Linked DNA regions of Coturnix japonica. The protein of the gene in region 1 interacts with the protein of each later gene in a pairwise test. Links are inferred from orthologs where the notes say so. Each region holds a gene or a part of one and is shown on either strand. Other genes may lie near its edges.

What was found.
Region 2: the proteins of WAC (region 1) and DYDC1 interact in binary tests that used the Homo sapiens proteins (3 or more experiments, as listed by UniProt). The two-hybrid records come from large-scale screens. The link is inferred for Coturnix japonica from reciprocal best matches to the Homo sapiens genes WAC and DYDC1.
Region 3: the proteins of WAC (region 1) and TRAF3IP1 interact in a two-hybrid assay, tested with the Homo sapiens proteins (2 studies listed by BioGRID and IntAct). The link is inferred for Coturnix japonica from reciprocal best matches to the Homo sapiens genes WAC and TRAF3IP1.

What each region holds. Positions count from the first base shown.
Region 1 is NC_029517.1:13,928,488-13,934,896, forward strand, and holds the start of WAC (WW domain-containing adapter protein with coiled-coil), read right to left. Parts: upstream 3,531-6,409; 5' UTR 3,435-3,530; coding exon of another isoform or gene 3,418-3,434; 5' UTR 3,416-3,417; coding exon 3,375-3,415; exon of another isoform or gene 3,369-3,374; intron 3,253-3,368; coding exon 3,216-3,252; exon of another isoform or gene 3,135-3,215; intron 1,771-3,134; coding exon 1,575-1,770; intron 1-1,574. Other genes in the region: Sjoegren syndrome nuclear autoantigen 1 homolog, read left to right, coding at 3,418-3,434, 4,754-5,153.
Region 2 is NC_029521.1:3,510,051-3,516,589, forward strand, and holds DYDC1 (DPY30 domain-containing protein 1), read left to right. Parts: upstream 1-2,451; 5' UTR 2,452-2,533; exon of another isoform or gene 2,534-2,581; intron 2,582-2,748; exon of another isoform or gene 2,749-2,751; 5' UTR 2,752-2,757; coding exon 2,758-2,904; intron 2,905-3,016; coding exon 3,017-3,139; intron 3,140-3,680; coding exon 3,681-3,752; intron 3,753-4,565; coding exon 4,566-4,856; 3' UTR 4,857-5,799; downstream 5,800-6,539. Other genes in the region: EXOSC3 (exosome complex component RRP40), read right to left, coding at 814-965, 1,910-2,059, 2,133-2,408. UniProt on the Homo sapiens protein: Functions as part of axonemal radial spoke complexes that play an important part in the motility of sperm and cilia. Plays a crucial role during acrosome biogenesis.
Region 3 is NC_029522.1:3,265,122-3,270,195, reverse strand, and holds the end of TRAF3IP1 (TRAF3-interacting protein 1), read left to right. Parts: intron 1-2,161; coding exon 2,162-2,327; 3' UTR 2,328-3,044; downstream 3,045-5,074.

The DNA.
Region 1 (6,409 bases):
TATGAAGAACAGACAAGAAAAACCATTTCTTCTTTTAAATAGAATAACATAGATGCTCTTTCAAAGGCTGTAACTTCCCTCAAACTATTTAATACAACCTCCTTCTCCCAGCCCACTGATATATAATTTAGACAAGACCACTTTCAGATAGAATAAAGGACATTTTTCACTCTATTAACAGCAGTGGGACAGTGTTCTTTACACTTACAAAGCTACCAATAATTCCTTTTCCATCATTACTATCTACATCCACACCTCAGATCACTCACCAACTATTCAGTCCAGACTCAGTGAGAGCTTTAGAATCTGTTCTCTACCCTCAAAAACAATTTTAGTGCTAAAATAAGCAAATATGCTCCCCACAGAGGCTCAACCTCCAAACAGTGTCATATATGCATAACTCCACTAAATGTAGCTTCACTGAAATCGGTTACCACCGAACACAGAATTAAAGGAGGATTTAGGACAAGTACCTTTGGACAGGTAAAAAAGGAAGAGAAGGCACTTTTGTGTCTTGGAAAGTAATGTGTGATAGCAGTCTACCAGTCTTGCATGTGCATTTCATCCTGAGATTACTGTGCTTTCAAGTATGAGCAAATACAATGAAAACCAATGTACTAAGAAATGCTGCAAGTCTATGCAAACCTTCTACTAAGTAATATCTCAGTATCAGTGGTCTACTGTTAATCCCCAAAAGTGGGAAAATGTAAGAACTGTTGAGAACAGTTGAGCACCATAAATGTACACGCGGTATGGAACTAATATGTTCTAAAGGACACAAAGATATTATATTTGTTACTTTAATAAGTAACAATACTGCAGTGATAAATACACCTGTACATCCCAGGCTGTTTACTTTATAGAGAACTTTTCCTGGTGCTTCTTTGTCTCAAGTTCTGTCCCTGAATACTTTATAACCCAATACAAAGAACAAATAGAATACTTACAAAACAGACTTCCAAACCCAGTAACAAACTTTTTAAACCTCCAGCTGTTACTCTCCTTTACCAAAAGGAAAACTCTACTCTTAGGCGTTTTTAGGAGGTAGAAATAGAAAATAACACCAGCTTAAAACTTCTGAGCACACTATTATCATCTGAATTACACTGTAAAAAGATAGGAGGCTACCTGACTAAGCTTCTGCCAGGAGATATTGTACTAAGTGCTATCTTTGATTTTAACATTGTTAGTTTACAGCAACCAGATCTAAAGCTATTTTTTATCATTCTCAGAGTGTAGCCCAGGAAGCACATACCTACATTACAGAAATACTAAATTATTTTTACTAAAATAGCAACTTAAACCTTTAAGATTGTCAATCTCTAGAACTCTAGAATATGGTTTTATCTTATTGAACGTTGCAGTATGCAGAACTCTCATACCTGTAAAAATAAGACAGCTAACAGGTGTTACAATGCCTGCTTCCAAGCAAACATGGCTTTTGGTTTCACAGCAGTCTTCCGAGCATCAAAGAACATCGCTCAACGCAATGCTCCCTTCACCTGAGTGACAACTGTTTAATTTTATGAGGAAACAGTAATCGCTTAAAGAAAGGTTAATTAAAGACAACTCACCACCATCCCTCTCTCTAACTCTGTGAGTATGCACACTTTTTGCTTTACTGTGCCCTGTGTTGTCACTGTATTTGTTTTCAGGGCTATCAGAGCGCCGCAACATTTTATTTGGTGGTGAAGGATCTGTGGTGTCTCGCATCTTGTCATGACGATGATCACCACCACTTGGGTGACTCTTGGATGAGTACTTAAGAGCCTGAAAAAGATCACAAGAAAACAGGCATTTTCATCAGATATAGATACAGAAAGAACATTTTAACATCAGTCATAAATTTCAGATCTTTCTTCTAAAACACTTTTTGAAGTAATTAATTTTTATTTCCCATTTAAATAACCACTATTCATCCTCTTAGTTTTAATTACCTACATTAGAGCAACAAGTTCTGTAATTAGGACTGAAACCATTTGCTCTCACCACGACATCCAACATAACATTTGCTGTTAAGATAAGCCTAATTTCTTCCTATTTTCTCAGTGAAGGACTGCATACTTTAAACGGTAAGTGGGGCACAAAACCTCTGACACTCAAAACAAGCACAAGTGCAGCTGGTACTAAAGAAATAAAGAGACAGTTATATTGAAACAGAGTGAACTGTAAATATCCATACTGTAATGGAGGCCACTTCCTTTTGCATCAACGTTAAGCTTCTGCAGATAGACTTCAGTACTAGCAAGCCCATAACAGATACAATAAAAATCTAGAATTTGGGGGGGTATTTAAGAGGGCAGAACATAATGTGACAATTCATTTTGGAACATTTACCAAAACTAACAAGTTATGTCTCTTTTTGATCTGCTTGATTTTGCAGAGCGAGCTCATGAGTGGCAAGTGTTTTATATTACATGAACTGTCACTGACAGCTGCCTCGGACCATCAGATGACACTTCACAGTGATAGAAACACTCAGAAATGTAATAAAATGGTTTAGTTAAATGCCCTAAGAAGAGCAGTATCCCTACACACAGCGTTCCCCAGACTCACACCCTCCTTAAGGTATAATTTTATTTTTCTTATTTTTATTCTTTCGTATTTCTCATAGGCATTAGACTACGGGACTCATCATACTTAAATTGAAGTTACTGTCAAAAGCCAGAGGATCTGATGTTTTTGAACACCCCCAGCAGCTGGCAACTGTAGAGACTGGCAACTGTGGAGACGAAGCCCTACTGACAACCCCAGTTCAGGGTCTAAAATCATGCCCTGCTCAGGTTACAGCCCGCAGCAGCAGTTTTGGGGAGAAGGGCCTCGGGGAGGGGGGCGGGGGGCGAACAAGCCGCCTTTTGTTTTTAGGAGGACAACGTTCCCCTTCCCCCGGCTCTCGGCTCCTCCGCCCGTGACCCGGCCGCGCTCTCCCGCCCCTGTGCTCGCACCTCCCGTCTGCTAGGCCCCGGCCCCGCGCTAGGCCTCTCCTACCGGCCCGGCCATCGCAGCGGCGCGGCGGCTCCGTTCCCCCGGCTGCGGGCCGGAGCCTGTTCCCTTCCCCACCTCTCGGGCCTTACAAGGCACCGCGGGCCGGGCGGGAGCCGCGCGGGGCAGCGCGGCCTGCGGCGGCGGCCGAAGCCTGGGCTGGAGTAGCTCCCCCCCCACCTTCCCTGCCCTGCTCCTCCTCCTCCCGGGCCCGGCGGCCGGCGCGGCGGTACCTGGTAGGGCTGCGAGTCCCCCCTGCGGTCGTGACAGCTGCGGAGAAGGCGAGAGAAAGAGAGAGAGAGGCGTTAGTGAGGGCCGTTACCGGGCGCCGGGAAGGGGCCCAAACATGGCGGAGGCGGGGGGAGAGCCGCGGGGCCGAGGAGGGGATTTACCCATCACTGAGTCTCTGCTGTTTCCTCGCATACATTACCATCAATGCCCGGCCTGTGTGTGTGAGTGTGAGGGGACCAGGAAGGGACGGCCGCGGCCGGGCCTACGGGCGCCGAGGGGGGAGGAGGGGAGCGGCGCTCCGCCTCGCCGCCGACCGGGGGCAGGGAGGGGGCAGGGAGGGAGGGGGCGGCTCGGCAGCTGTGCTGGGAGCGGCGCTCACGGGCCCATCTCCGCCGCGCGCAGCCTGAGGGGAGACGCCGGCAGCTCGGCCCCGCTGAGGCGCTCCGGGAGCGCGGACTCCGTCGCTGCCGCCGCTGCCGCCTCCTCCCCCCGCTGCGCCCGCCGCCGCCGTCGCCGCTCCTCCAACTACATCCGGGAAACTCGGGCGACGCCGCGCTCGGTTAACGTCGGCTCTTTTCGGCTCTTTCCGACGCGCTCCGTCCCCTCTGTCCCCTTTGCTCTCGGGCGACTCTGCCTTCGGCAAACATCGGCAGTCTCCGCCGAGCCCAACGCCCTTCAGTCTCTCCCTTCGGCAAACATCGGCTCGTTCCGTAGCTCTCCCCCCCCCTCCGGCCGGCCCGCCTCGTCCTCCACTCCCGAACGCTACCTGTCTTCGGAAAACATCGGTTATTTCCGTAGAGAGGCTTTCACGCTCTCGTCGGGGTGACGCCGCCTTCGGAACCGTTCGGCTATTTCCGTGACCTGCGCGGCCGTTGGCGGGGCGCGGCCGATTGGCCGAGGGGAGCGAGCGGGGGCGGCAGCGGCAGGCAGGTGGGGGCGATGGGGGGGGACCGCGAAAGGAGCCGAGGTGGTGCGGGGGGGATAGGAAAGGGAAGGTCTCCCCTCACTCACCTCCCCCCTCCCCTTCCGCCCGGCGCCTTGATGTATAGGCAGGAGCCATTTTGTGTACGTTGGGTTCGGCGAGAGGCGCTCGGTAGGGAGTGGTTGTTAAAATGTCCCTGGGGAAGCGGCTGGCCGGGCCGCGTCCCTCCTTCCCTCTCAGCTCCCCCTGAGGCGATGGCGGAGCTCGGGCCGCCTCACGCGTGGAGGGAGCGGGTGAGCGGGACGGGCAGCGCTGCCCTGAGGAGCTGGGAGTGATCCAGCCCTGCTGGGTTGGATGGGCCCACGGGCAGCATGAGCTGCTGGGTGGGTGCTCTGCCCACGGCATGGTGTTGGGACTGATAGCCTTGAAGGGCCCCAAACCATGCAATGATACAGAGCCTGAATCTTGTCCTGCCTCCTTAATGAAAAGGGAAGTGACAAGCCCCCCTCAGAACTGGCCTGTAGCAGTACATCTTTCCCCACAATGCTGTGTTTAAACATAGCATCACACTATAACTATAGTTTTTCTCTCTGTTCTTGTTTTTGTGTTAACGTGCAGAAGGCTGCAGCTGAGAGGACACCTCAGGAAGCTCACGGACAGACAGGAGCAGAGGATGACCCAGCAGGGAGCTGTTCTTCAGGGTTACAACAATGAGCTCGTTAAGTGTATTGAAGACTTGTGTATGCAAAAAGAGGAGCTGAACAAACAGATCCAGCAAGCAGAAGAGGAGAAAAGCAGACTCCAGCATGAAATTCAAACCCTCAATGAACAGTTGGAGGGGGTGTGTGAAAACCTGGCTCAGAAGGTAGCTTCGCGGAACGAGCTCGATAAAATTCTTGCTGAAACTGAAGCTGCTTACATGAAGATTTTGGATAGTTCCAGAACTTTGCTTAGTGTCCTGAAGAAGGAAGTGGGAAGCTTAAAGCGTCCGCCAGAACTGAAAAGTAATGTAACCTGAAGCTGTTAAATGTCTGCACTTCCCAGTTCTAAAATTCCACTAGGTGAGAAGCGGTCAGACACAGCACCCTGTGACAGCACTATGAGCTGAGGGGCCTTTCTTCCAACCTTTCCACTTTCCCATAATTTTTAAATGCGTTAGAAACACTGTAGATAAAACAGATGAAATAAAGTTGCCGTTTTCTTATTAAAGAAAGTTCATAATTGCTCTTAAATCACAGCAAAACTAAACTGCAGATATGTAGCTGTCAGTTTGGACATAGTTATGCTTCAAGGCTCTTCTGAAAGACAGGAAAAATGTTTTATTGGCTGGATTTTGGCTGGTTACTGTGGAATGGCTGTTTGATAGAATGTTACTTGAAATCTGGACAGAATGCTCGCATTTTTTCCATTGCTCTTTTACCCAAAGCTGTGTTCATGGCTTCTCTGAAATCCTGCTGTCTTTCTCCCATATCCTTTTTTTCCCCTTACCTACATGTGTAGACAGAAAAGCACTGTAGAACTAATGGATGCAAGTAGCTTATACTTGTTGCTTGACTTTTAGGGACCAAGTAGGAATTAGTTTTTTAGCCTTCTTAAGGAGTCTGGACTTCTCTCCGTGATCCACGTGCAGCCCCTGTTGACAATCATCTTTCACTTAGCTGGAATTTTGGAGGAATAATTTGAGAAAATGTGATTTAAGCAGGGTATGAAAGATTAACCTCACAGACTGTGTCAGGTTTGTGTATCTTCTGAAGCTGTACTCTAAAGCCTTGAGTAGAAAGGAGTTATGCTATGGTGAGAGATGGATTTGAGTGCAAGTGGGAGGCATGACCTTGCAGGGCACAGTGCTGCAGGGAGCTGTACAATATAAATGAGGGCCATCTAATATTGCAATAAGGCTGGAAAGAATAGTGAACAACCTAGAATGGAGGGAAATAAATGCATGTGAGAGGTCAGAATTGAATTAGTAGTAAACATGCAGCTGCTCGACATTCTTGTAGGTGAGATTTAAATAGAACCCAAGTAGGAGAATGGAGAGGATGTAAGAATATAGCAGAAATCTCAGTCTCGTTTCCTATTTCTGGTAGTTAGTAAATATGTGTGTGCATGCATTTTTTCCTGCTCATTCATGTATTATGGCAGCAGCTTTATGTTTAAGTCAAGCCTTCATAACAATTCGCTAAATTGGAGGAAATGCGATTGCAATCTCTTCTCTTAATAACTGTGTCTCTCAGGTGCAAGTATAAAGAGCATGCAGATATGAATAGCTTCAGT
Region 2 (6,539 bases), on another chromosome or scaffold:
AGCTGGTATTTTATGATAGTCACACACTGTTTCTAGTTCAATGTACATGCATCCTTTCCCCAGTAAAACTGGCATAAATGCAGCACAACAGCCACATAGCAGTTACTGGCTAGTTCACACTACTTGAATTGGAGACAGCTGTGCATATCCTACCTAAAAACAAAATGTTACTCTTCCAGTTTCAGCTGCACACAATTGTCTCTCCTTCAGTGCCTGCTAAGATGCTGTTCTGGTTTTAGGAGAAAAACAATGATAATACACCTGTATTTCCAGCTGTTGCTGAACACTGCTGTACAGAGCCAAGCATACTTCATTTTTCCCCACTCTCTCTTACCATCCTACCAACTGGGGGATGGGGAACTAACAAGGATCTCGGAAGCACAGGGCAGGGCACCCAAGCAGCTGGGAAGGGATAGAAATAAGACAGCTGACTTTAAGTGGCCAAAGGGATATTCCATACCATATAACATTACGCAAAAGGAAAGTTTTGAATGGGACATGAGTCCTTTTTTCTCTCTCTCCTGCTGCTTGGGGCCTAGCTGGGCATCAGTCAGTGGGTAACTTCCTATATACATTCACATATATGTATTTCTCTTAAGTAGTATCTTGTTTTCTTTTCTCTTTGTAAACAGTTTTATCTCAACCCATGAATTCTACTTTGTGTCTGTTTTTTAATCGATTCTATTCCCAAGCCTATAGGGAAAAGCAGGACAGGGTCTGGAGGGAGAGGAGCTAATGACTGTGTGTTGTTTAGACACATGCTAAGTTTAACAACCCCAACACTTTAGTACAACTGGTTTTCTTAGTACTTACTTTCTTATCAGACCTAAGGAAACTTTAAAGAGGAAGCCGTCTTGTCCAATTACTCCCATTCCACTTGCTCTTCCACTGCTGTCTATACAGACCATCTCTGGTTCCATGTCTTTATTTGCTACAAGGAACTGACCATAAACAAGGTCTCCCACCTAAAGCAAGCAGTGCCAGAAAACAACAAAAAAAAAGAATCATTAGAGAAGATAACAATGCACATTTGTAAGAAACATTCAGTCCATAAAGAGACAACAAAACAGTTGTAAACTGGATGAACACTTGGACAAGAACCAGCAGCGTACACTTGCAGCTCAGAAGGCCAATGGGATCCCAGGCTGGATCCAAAGAAAGATAGCTAGAAGGGTGAATGAGGTAACTGACCCCTTTATTCTGCCATTGTGAGGCCCCACCTGGGGTACTCTGTCCAAGCCTGTGGCCCCTGACACAAGACCATTGGAATGGGTCAGAAGAGGGCCGGAGCGCCTCTTGTGTGAAGAAAAGTTGAGAGAGTTAGGCTTGTTGAGCCTGGAAAAGGCTCTGGATAGACCCCATCGAAGCCTTCCAGTGCTTATAGGGAGTGACTTTTTATATAGCCTAGTAGTGACAGGACAAGGGGGAATGGCTTTGAATTAACAGAGGGGAGATAAAGGTTACATGTTAGGAAACAATTCTTTACTCAGAAGGCGCACCAGAAGCCATACCAGTCTATTCCATTTAAAATCACAGCCCATTTTACACCATGCTGACAGTGTTTCTGGTGAACGCACATATCACAAAACAACTTGTAAATGCTACAAAGCAAACCCTCCTCTACCAGCACCAGCGTTCAGAGGATGCTTTAAAGCCTCAGGGTGGCCCCTTGGGACCCACGTTACTGCACGAGTAGCACCTGCCACTGTTAACCGATGGGAAAGGTGTAAGGTCAGAAGTGAAGAAGCACAAAAAGCTCCGGAGAAAACAGAAAAAACTCACGGCCTCATCGGGACACCCCGTACAGGCCATGACAAAAGCTCTGTGAAAAAAGTCACGTTCCTCGTTTATATGGTCCGAGTGGTAAAAACACCGTTTACAAAGGCAAGCTCCCGGCGGGCAGCGTTACCTGCACGTTGGGCCTGTTCCTCTTGGTCGCGCCCTCGAAGGCCAGGTATGACAGCGAGGCCTGCTCGCTACCACCGACGTCCAGCCGGAACACGTCCCCCACCTTGCCCGTCACGATGCCGATAACGTGGTCTCCCTTCACCGGCACGTACTACAAGCGGGTACAAGCGATCAGCGGGCTCGTCCCGCACATCACCGCCCCCCGCCGCCCGCTGCCGCCGTACCCGCTTCTGCTGCGAGTCCACCCAGTAGGCGCCGCCCGCCGCCGCTCCGCCGCCCGCCTGCCGGTGCCGCAGCAGCCCGCACTTGGTGACCAGCAGCCCGCCCGCACAGCGCCGCAGCCCCGGCCCGCACAGCAGCCTCCCCCGCGGGGCCGCGCTGGTGCCCAGCGGCAGCTTGTCGAGGTCGGGCTCTCCGTGCTCGGGCAGCAGCAGCACATCGCCGGGCAGCACCACTTGTCCCACACGGGTCTCCGCCGGCACGCCGCCCCCACCCGCCATCGCGTGCGGCCCTTCCGGCGGAAGCAGACGCAAAATGGCGGCGGCGATGGAAGGGCCGAGAGCGCAACGACAGCGACACCGCCCGGCCGCCTGACGCAGGATCCAGCCGGGAGCGCGGTTGCCCGGTAACGCGGTTGGACGCGCTGTGCGATCGGGCCGGTAGGAGCGAAGCGGTAGGGAACGGGGGACAGCACCGCTACCACCTTCTCATATTAATTGCCTGATGAAATGAGCTTTGATAAAACCACCAACATCACACTGGGGATGTGATGCAGTCAACACTTCCTCTAACTGCTGTCTGAATTCCGATATCGGTGACTAATATCTGTCGGTTTGTCAGTAGGTGAGAATGGAGTCTCAATACCTGAGGAGATGTCTGGGAAGCTGCTTGAAAAAGGGTCTGGCGGAGGTTGTGGAGCGTCGGCCCGCTGACCCAATAGAGTACCTGGCACACTGGATCTACAACTACAAGAAAACACTAGAAGAAGAAAAGAAGGTGGGTCTACCTCGGGCAAAGCATTTCATGTCAATCTAACTGATGCTGTATAATCTCTCTTTGTGTTTTGTTTCCTTTTTTTTTCATTGATTTCTTGTTACCTCTGAAATAGAGAACGTTGGAAAGGGCCAAACTGGAAAAAGAACGGCAGGCAGCCCTGGAAGAACTTGAAATGTTAAGAAAAATGAAGGAAGAAGAGCTACTGATACAACAGAAACTTGAAGAACAACGGCAGGTTAATAGTTGTTCATAATTATAGTAGCGTGTGATGCTGGGTCAACTTGTAGCTCTCACTACAATAGTAGTCATTATCAACATAGAATCATAAGAGAATCAGAATGTTGGAAAGTACCTACAATTGTATTCTGATCTTGAAAGGGAAAAGATAACAAAAAGTGCTTAAACATTGCGTTTTGAAAATATCATTATTTCGAAAGGAATTAGAAAGGACAGCTGAGCAGCTGGGGAGAAAAACTTACCTGCTACATGACAAGATGTTACCAAAAATGAAGAGACTAAGCTAAAGAGAAACTAACTAAAGATATGTTAGAAAATTAGATTAGGATAAGTAGACTGTCTTCTGCAGTTAACTATCTTAGCTATTTTTTCCTCCCATAGAATCTATATGGATTAGTCTGTCTATAATAGATGCTGTGCAAAGCTTCAAAGAGCCTAATCCAAAGTATAGGAGATATAAATATTAACTACTAAAGAGCACGAGGAACTGAGTATCAAAAGCATATACGCTATCTTCAGCTGTCTTCTCTTTACAATAGGAACAAGAACGTGAGAAGATGGAACAGCAGAATAAAGAAGAGAACATGCAGGAGCAGCAGAAAGATCCAGAGGTTTAAGCCAAAGCTTAGTCAAGATAAAGAAATATTGTTAATCATCTCTCTTATTCAGATCCAGTCCCTAAATACAGAACACAAGGCAGAAGCCTTGAACACAACAAAACAGAAAGCTAACATTAGGGAAGAACGTTTAATGCTTCTTTCCAGCTTAGGTTTTAGACTTGAATTCTCATCTGTTCTATTGGGTTTCTTTAGCTTTTATTCAGAACAGAGCATAAAGTTATTATAAAATGTAGCTTAAGTTCAGATTTTTTTTTAATTAATAAAATACTAGAACTTGAACGTGTCTAACATGAATGCTTAGATAGTTACATTTTACTGCCTGGCAACGTGAAGCCCATTTGCCACACCTGGAAAAGGAACCAACACTTGGAGGTGGGATGCCTCTTGATTTTTTGGTCTTCCATATAAATACATAGTCATATGATGCTGTTTTGGTAAAACAGATTGATCATTGACACTTAGACGTGAAACATTTCCTAACTTTACTTGGAGCAGAATAGAGATATTTTTAGAGCACTGTGTTGAGATATTGATAGCACATAGCTAGAAGAATGACTGTAAATGTAACAGAAGTATGCACGTTTATAAACTGAAGCAAAAAAGAACCCTGAAACCTTTGTAAAAACAGTCTTTACATGCACAAAGACCCCATTTGCACACTAACACATTTGTGTAGCAAGCATCTGAAGTATTGTCTTTACATTCATACTTAAACTACATTTTCAAAGCATGTTCAAAGTATCCACTGTAGACGATTGCTCATGACACGGAATACTTCTAATTGAAAATGAATTTCCACTACAGGAAGATGAGAAGACAATAGCTGAACTTACAGATAGAGCAGGAGCACCTAATTTGCCCACAGTTGAGGAAGTAGATGAGAGTGGAGTGTCTGAGGTAAGTGTTTGGAAAGAAAAAGGTTACATGGAATTAATGCTCAAACATTTTCTTGCTGACAAATGGAAGACTAAGACTGTTCTAGTTAACCCTATACCGGTTCTTTACTACAATCTGAAGGGATATTATTTGGGCCACAGTCTTCATGCTGTCCTTAGGCTGTACATTCTGAAAGGCTGCTTATGTGGTGCTGAGTGAATAAAGTGCCAAAGATTTAAAATGCCCCTTTATAGTCATGTGTGTTATGAATGGATGTATTAATATTCTCAGACAAGAAGCAGCCTTCCTTCGCCTTTTGAGCAGGTGTCAAACAGGACACAGACTCAATCACAAACACTGTCTTGCTTCTGAATGAAATGACTTACATTATTCTGATTGGTCTGAAGTACATTGTTCATGCAGCAGAACGCAGAGATATCTGAACAATTATTTAATGTAAAAGACCAGGTACCAAGCGCACAGTGCTCAGTGCAGCAAAGACCTGCTAAGAATCAGGTTATCCAAACCCTGTGCCAGCATGACAGTACTTATTCCAAAACTACAACTATCAATCTAAATTGTGATATGCAGCCATCTTCTACACCCCTATTTTTTTATTCACTTTGTGCTTGACAATCCTAGTACATGAGAGGGTATAAATCAACTGTCATTGACTGTAAAGCATGGCAGTACATTAAACAGATGATGCTGCTTTATGCACATCACTGGAGATAAATATCAGTGTGTTTAGCTTTTTTCAGCTATGATATTCTAGGTAGTGTGACTTGGAATTTGGCTGGACTGGTTTTAGTACTGAAGCTGAGCCCTTTTTCCTTTGTTAGCCTCAGTCATTTGCTCACTTGTTTTCTGATACTGGTAGTATAATCCCAGCTCAGAACTGAAATTTGTGGTATTAGCACACTTTTGCTTTAGTAACAACCTGTTTTATAAAAGCCCTGCAAATACATTTGTGAATGTATTTATGACTAGGGCAAAGTTTCCTCAATTATTTGGATTTTGCCAAGTGGTAAATGTGACAGGATCTCAAGGCCTTGCTTAGTCCTGTTTTTTATTATCATTTTCTGGCAACCGAGTATTAAAAGCCATATATGAGGCTCTGGGTGTATTTTACACATCCTTAATGAAATGAATTGCAAAACCAGAAGTGCAAATGAATCAAAGTGTGCCCCGGTGGCGCAGTGGTAGGAATGCCGCCTTGCAACATCAGGGCCCGGGGTTCGAATCCCCCCTGTGGCGCAAGTGGTAGAAGTGCCGCTCTGCAGCACAGAGGCTCGAATCCCGGGAGTTGGACTCGATGATCTCTAAGGTCCCTTCCAACCCACACGAGACTATTACTATTACTATTGAACCATAGAATGGCTTGAGTTGGAAGGAACCTTAAAACTAGTTTAAACAACCCTGCCACAGGTGTAGTACTGCAGATTACGCCTACAAGGGCAGAGTAGAGGGGGACAGTAATCTCCTCCACCCTCATTCCTCTTTCAAGCAGCTCATGACACATTTGGCCTTCTGATCAGCAAACAGACTGGTCCCAAGATGAACCTCTGGGGTCCTCCACTTGTACAGAGAACGGTCAACCACAATCTTCTGCCGGTGGCCAGCTGACCAAATCCTTATCCACTGAACAGTCCACTGATCCATTTCATATCTTTCCCATTTAGAGACAGGAATGTGATGTAGGACCATATCAAAGGCCTTGCAGCAGTCCAGGTGTATGACGTATCTATTACCTTTCCTTTATCCGCTTGTCATAGAAGGCCACCAGACGGGTGAGGCACAATCTGCCCCTGGTGAAGTCACGCTGACTGTCTCAAATTACCTTCACGTATGTCTTCCACATCACCCACAAAGATTTCATGCCTAACGTTGTTTAAAGTTGGA
Region 3 (5,074 bases), on another chromosome or scaffold:
TCTCTAGACAGATCTGTTTACAGGAGAGGAGAGAGTTTTATCCGCTTCAAAATGCAAGTTTGTCATCAGTCTCCATTGTGGTTTGGGGAATTTTATTTGCAGTTAGAATTGTGTTATTTTGAAGCATTAAAATCTTTCCAGCTAACGTCACCTGAGGTACATGGCAGCAGCTATGTGAATGCTAAGGTGAAATGAAAAGGTGTAGTGCTTTGCTTTGTTTTCTTATCACAAATACATCTGGAGCAACGGAGGAGCAGGTTAGTAGGCCTGGTGGGTTCTGAATCCTTAAATCACAAACTGCTTTCTGTATGCTGCTGAAATCTGCGTGTTCTGCAGCAGTGTCAGTAAGTTGTTGTCTGTGCATGGTTTGAAACCAACAGCAGAAAGCCAGGAGAGCAAAGGTAACACATCCAAGGAGGTCATGCCTAGGAAGGGGTGCTTCAGCTTTACTTTCCTCAGTAGTATATCTTTTTATTCTCCTTGCAAACAGAACTACCGTCCCAATTCCATGTAATCTGATCTTAAAAATGATCTCAGATATTGAAGATTGATTTCGTCATCATGGATTCCAATGTAGATAACTGCTGTTGAACCGATACTTTTATTTCCTGCAGAAGCAACCATGCCACTGAGTGGTATCCTTAGCTAAGTTTTATCTGGATAGGTAGCGATTTGTTAAATGTTGGAAGTTTTACAGCTGCTGGCTTAGTGGGGCTGGGGTAGGAATTAGGTTCACATATAAAGCCTAATGATGTCAATTCCTTGCTCTTACACAACACCTTCTTAAGCTGTGGTTGCCTTAGGATGTAGGACCGCTGCAAAGAGAAAGGAAATGGCATTGGGTTTTATTTTACAGCTGTAGAAACTGAGGCACTGACCTGCTTGCCTGTGCCCAGACAGCTTGAACCAGCCCTGGTGACAGGGAGCAAACCAGCATCACTTTAGCAGAGCCATTCAGCTCCCTTTCACGAGCTTGGACTGCTGCAGCATATCACAGCACTTTGCAGGGATTGCAGTGAGATCCTCATCAGTTCAGTGTAGTGCTACAGCCTGTCAGATCCTTCAGGGAAGAATTACGCAGTATCTGACATGAAGAAGAGAGTGCTTCCCATATGTAGTGGAATTTGGATGCACCTTTGTTGGCTGTTTTTTCTTCTGTGAAAGACAATTGAAGAATCCCATTAGGGAAATGTTAGTAGAATTTCTAGTGATATTTTTTGTGATTTATGTCAATGGAGTAGAAAGGAGGGGAAAGCTAAGTAATTATGAGATGCTGACTTCAGCTGATTACCCAGTCCTCACAGTGACTGGATAATTCAGAATGACAGCAGACTAGTTCTGCCCATCAACTCCCTGGCTGCGAAGCACTGTGGAAAGGGGCACACTGGTTTTAAAGCCAAACAGTCCCATTCCCTTCAGGTATATCAGTGGTTTCATTAGCATCTAATTCCTGTTTATTAAATTTCCTGTTATTGTGGGATTGCCTGCCCTTGTCAGCAGCTACTGAGGGCCAGTTTTCTTGTACCTTGCCCCTTATCAGATGTCTACTTGGTGCTTGCTGTGGCTTGGTGCTGCTGGCAGGCAGTGCTGTGCTGCTGGCTCATTGTAGGAAACAGCTGGTAGCAGGCCATCAACCTCCACAGCAATTGTACTTGCTCCTCTGCACTGTGCTTCCCTCCTCTTTAAATGCCTATTGCAAGGCCTGGAGGGATGGCTGTTGCCATGTGCATCATGATAAGATACAGAGACCCCAGTAAAAAGTGGGTGTTGTTCTTATGCTCTATCCTACACAGTCAAGTCCCTCTTTGTCCCTGAGCCAGGCAGTTGGAGCTCTTGGCTGGTAAGTAAAAGAAGTGCTTGGTGCTCACTCATGATGGGGCAGAATAACTGCATAGCACAGAGATTTTAACAGAAAAACTAGATTAGACAAGATTACTGCTTGCTGTTGAATTGTGTGTGGGGGGGGTGTTCCTAAACAGTGTTCCTCTCTGTGTTGCTGGCTTTGCCTTTGTGCTTCTCATCCTAAACTTTCTTTCAGGAAGGATGAGCGCAACTTAAATTCTTTGCAAACTTTGAAGCATTGAATGTATGTTCTTGGAGGCTAAAGTAACCTGAAGCAGCATAACGTTTCCAGTAACACAACACTTTGCATCTCTTTCAGCATCATTGACGGTGCTGTAGAACCACTAAAAGCTGAACTGGCTGAGCTGGACCAGCTGATTGAAGACCAGCAAGACAAGATCCGTGCTGTTAAAGCTAATATTTTAAAGAATGAAGACAAAATCCGGAGGATGGTTCTTAGCATAAACTTGTCTTCAAGAAGGTGAAGAAGGGAGGATAAAAAAACAACCCTTGGGACTGATAGACTGATATTCCTACCAATTAAAAACTGAAATAGTGGAGAAAAGTAAAGATATGCCTTGTTGGGATGCACTGTGGTTAGGGACCAGGAGAGTTATATAAAATACCATTGATCTTTAGATGTTGATATTACTGTGGATAAAATTATGTCCATTTGAATGCTCAAAGTGCTGAGCTATTAAATTAATTTGTTTGTTTAAATGTGAACTGCTGGTATTCACTTGCCAGGTCTTCCCTGCCCTCTGTCCCTCCACAGCCTGTTGAGCACCGTTTGTGAGCCAGTTCTCTATTCAGTCTCCTTCATCCCTTCGTGACCACCGAGGTTGCTTGTCCACATGCTGTCATGAGCAGGTCAGGGCATTCCTGAGCCTTGCAAGGAAAGCTACAAAAGAATGCCACGAAACCAAGTAAAGCCTTGTGTAATGTGCAGCTCCTTGCATCATTAAGGAGATGATGTCATGTTTTCACAGCTATCAGGAATCTTATTAGGAAGGACTGAAAATGCAATACAAGCATCCACCGTGTAAGGGAGCAGAAGTACTTTATCTGCACAGGTGTTAATCCCATTTTTATTGCGTATGTTCATTTGGAACGGATTAATTTAAGTACCTGTTTCCTCCCAAATGCCTGTTCCTGTTCCTGCAACTTTTTGTACGTGAATAATTCCACTGATTTTTATTTAACTGCAGATGTCTGTGCTGTTTTTCTAATGACCTCTTGTTTGCAGCGCACGTCAGTGTCCAGCTTTACTTATTCCTAAATCTGTTAGCATGGACACAACTGCATGATGCTGCCCTGAGCACAGGATGCTTTGGTCCTCTGCAAGGCTGTTCTCTTAAGACTTTTACAGTATGTGAGTACATCCAAAAAATCTACCAAAAGGATAATCACCAAATAACGTGAGTATTTAATACGCAGATATGAACATTTTAAAGGGTTTTATGTGTTTGTTTAAATAAAATAGTGGGGAGGGTTTTATTTTCCTTCCTGGGTAGTCAACTGTGGTTTCACCTAGAAGTAGTTTGCCCCACAACTTGGACTGTGACAGGAATCCAGTGGTTTGTGGATGTAAAGTGACTCATTTTCTAAGCTCAAAGTAATCAACAGTACACTGCATTTAGGAGTTGCATCCTAGCTTTGGTCCCTGTAAGGGCAGGATGCATTGCTGTATGGGGTTTTGGTCAGGTTGGAGAGCAAGCAGGGAACTGTAACAGAGAAAGCGAAGTGTTGGATCTCTTCTGAACAGTACATAACTGTGCTCTGTGCTTTTGAATTGTCATCTTGAGTTTTTATTTGGCGAGGCAGTATCTCTACAGGAAAGAAGGGGATAGAGTCTTTAGCAGGGTCTGTGGTGGTAGAACAAGGGGAAATGGTTTCAAGCTCAAAGAGAGGAGATTGAGGTTAGATATAAGGAAAAATGTTTTACATTGAGGGTGGTGAGGCACTGGAACAGGCTGCCCAATGTTATGGTTGATGCCCTGACTCCATGCAGGATAACGTTGCTTTAGCAGTGCTGGGAACACAGGGATGTGACCAGGCTGTGTCCAGCCCTAACAGCCTTAGCATGGAGAATTTCTTGTCCACCGATGACTTCCAGTTCTGAGGTTTGTGCTTTATAACTCAAATATCTGTGTCTCGTGAAGAGGAAGGGAGACTGTGAGAATAGATATGGATGAGTGTCTGCACAGCTGCCTGTGACTTGCACATGCTACACTGCCTTTGCCTTGAGCTTGCCTTTCAGCTATGGGTAGTTCATTAGCAAAGGAGACTTTGCTAATGCAGTGGTTTGGGGTTTCAAACCCTTACATTGTCAGGCCCCTTTGGAGCTAATGGAGCCTGACAGGTCTGGGAAGCAGGACTTGCATTTCATGACATGCCTGACATTCCTCTCTCGTGTGGGTCAGGAGGTGGCCGCCAACCCCTCTGGTTTAGGGCTGGGGAGTGTTTCTCAGCCAGAAAGGTTCAGCTGTTGGCTGGGACCCTACTGGAAGGCTGCAGTGAGATCTTCTCCAGGCTGAACAATCCCAGATCCCTCAGCAGAGGTGCTCCAACCCTCTCATCATCCTCGTGGCCCTCCTTTGGACCTACTCCATATTCATAGGTGCTCTGCAGGAGGGGTTCCTGGTATCAGAACTTACATGTGATTTGTCTCACCCACTCACAAATTAGGAATCCTCCAGTCTTCAAGTTTGCACTTGTGCTACAAGAACAGATCTCTTCCATGCAGTAAAGGCCCTCTGGTTTCTCACTCAGCATATGAAGGAAGATGCTCTGGTTTGTAGACTTTGCACACTCCATTTGCCCCAGAATGTCAGTCCTTGCTGGCACTCTCTTAGTGCAGTTTCTCTAACTCAACCTTGGGGGCAGAATTCAGTCTAGTTTTGGCCCCATTGGCACACTCTCCTGCTTGATGTGTAATTAAGTTTTGCAAATGAGTGGCTCTTGCCAGATCTGGCACTCAAGTGCTTGTGTTTCAGGCTTGGTGGTTTAACTATTTCTAAACCTGAGCTTCAGGCTGCCTGCTGACTCAGGGAGACAGTGCTACCACTGTTCACATCTCATTATCCTCACCACCATGGGAAGAAGGAACACCAGCGGTATTGTTGTTCAGCTTGTAAGACTGGAATTCCTGCTCACACGTGTAATGCAGGACATCCCATCTCCAATGGAGCTGTGGAGCACACGATCCACAAGTCAGATTCGGATTTTTCTC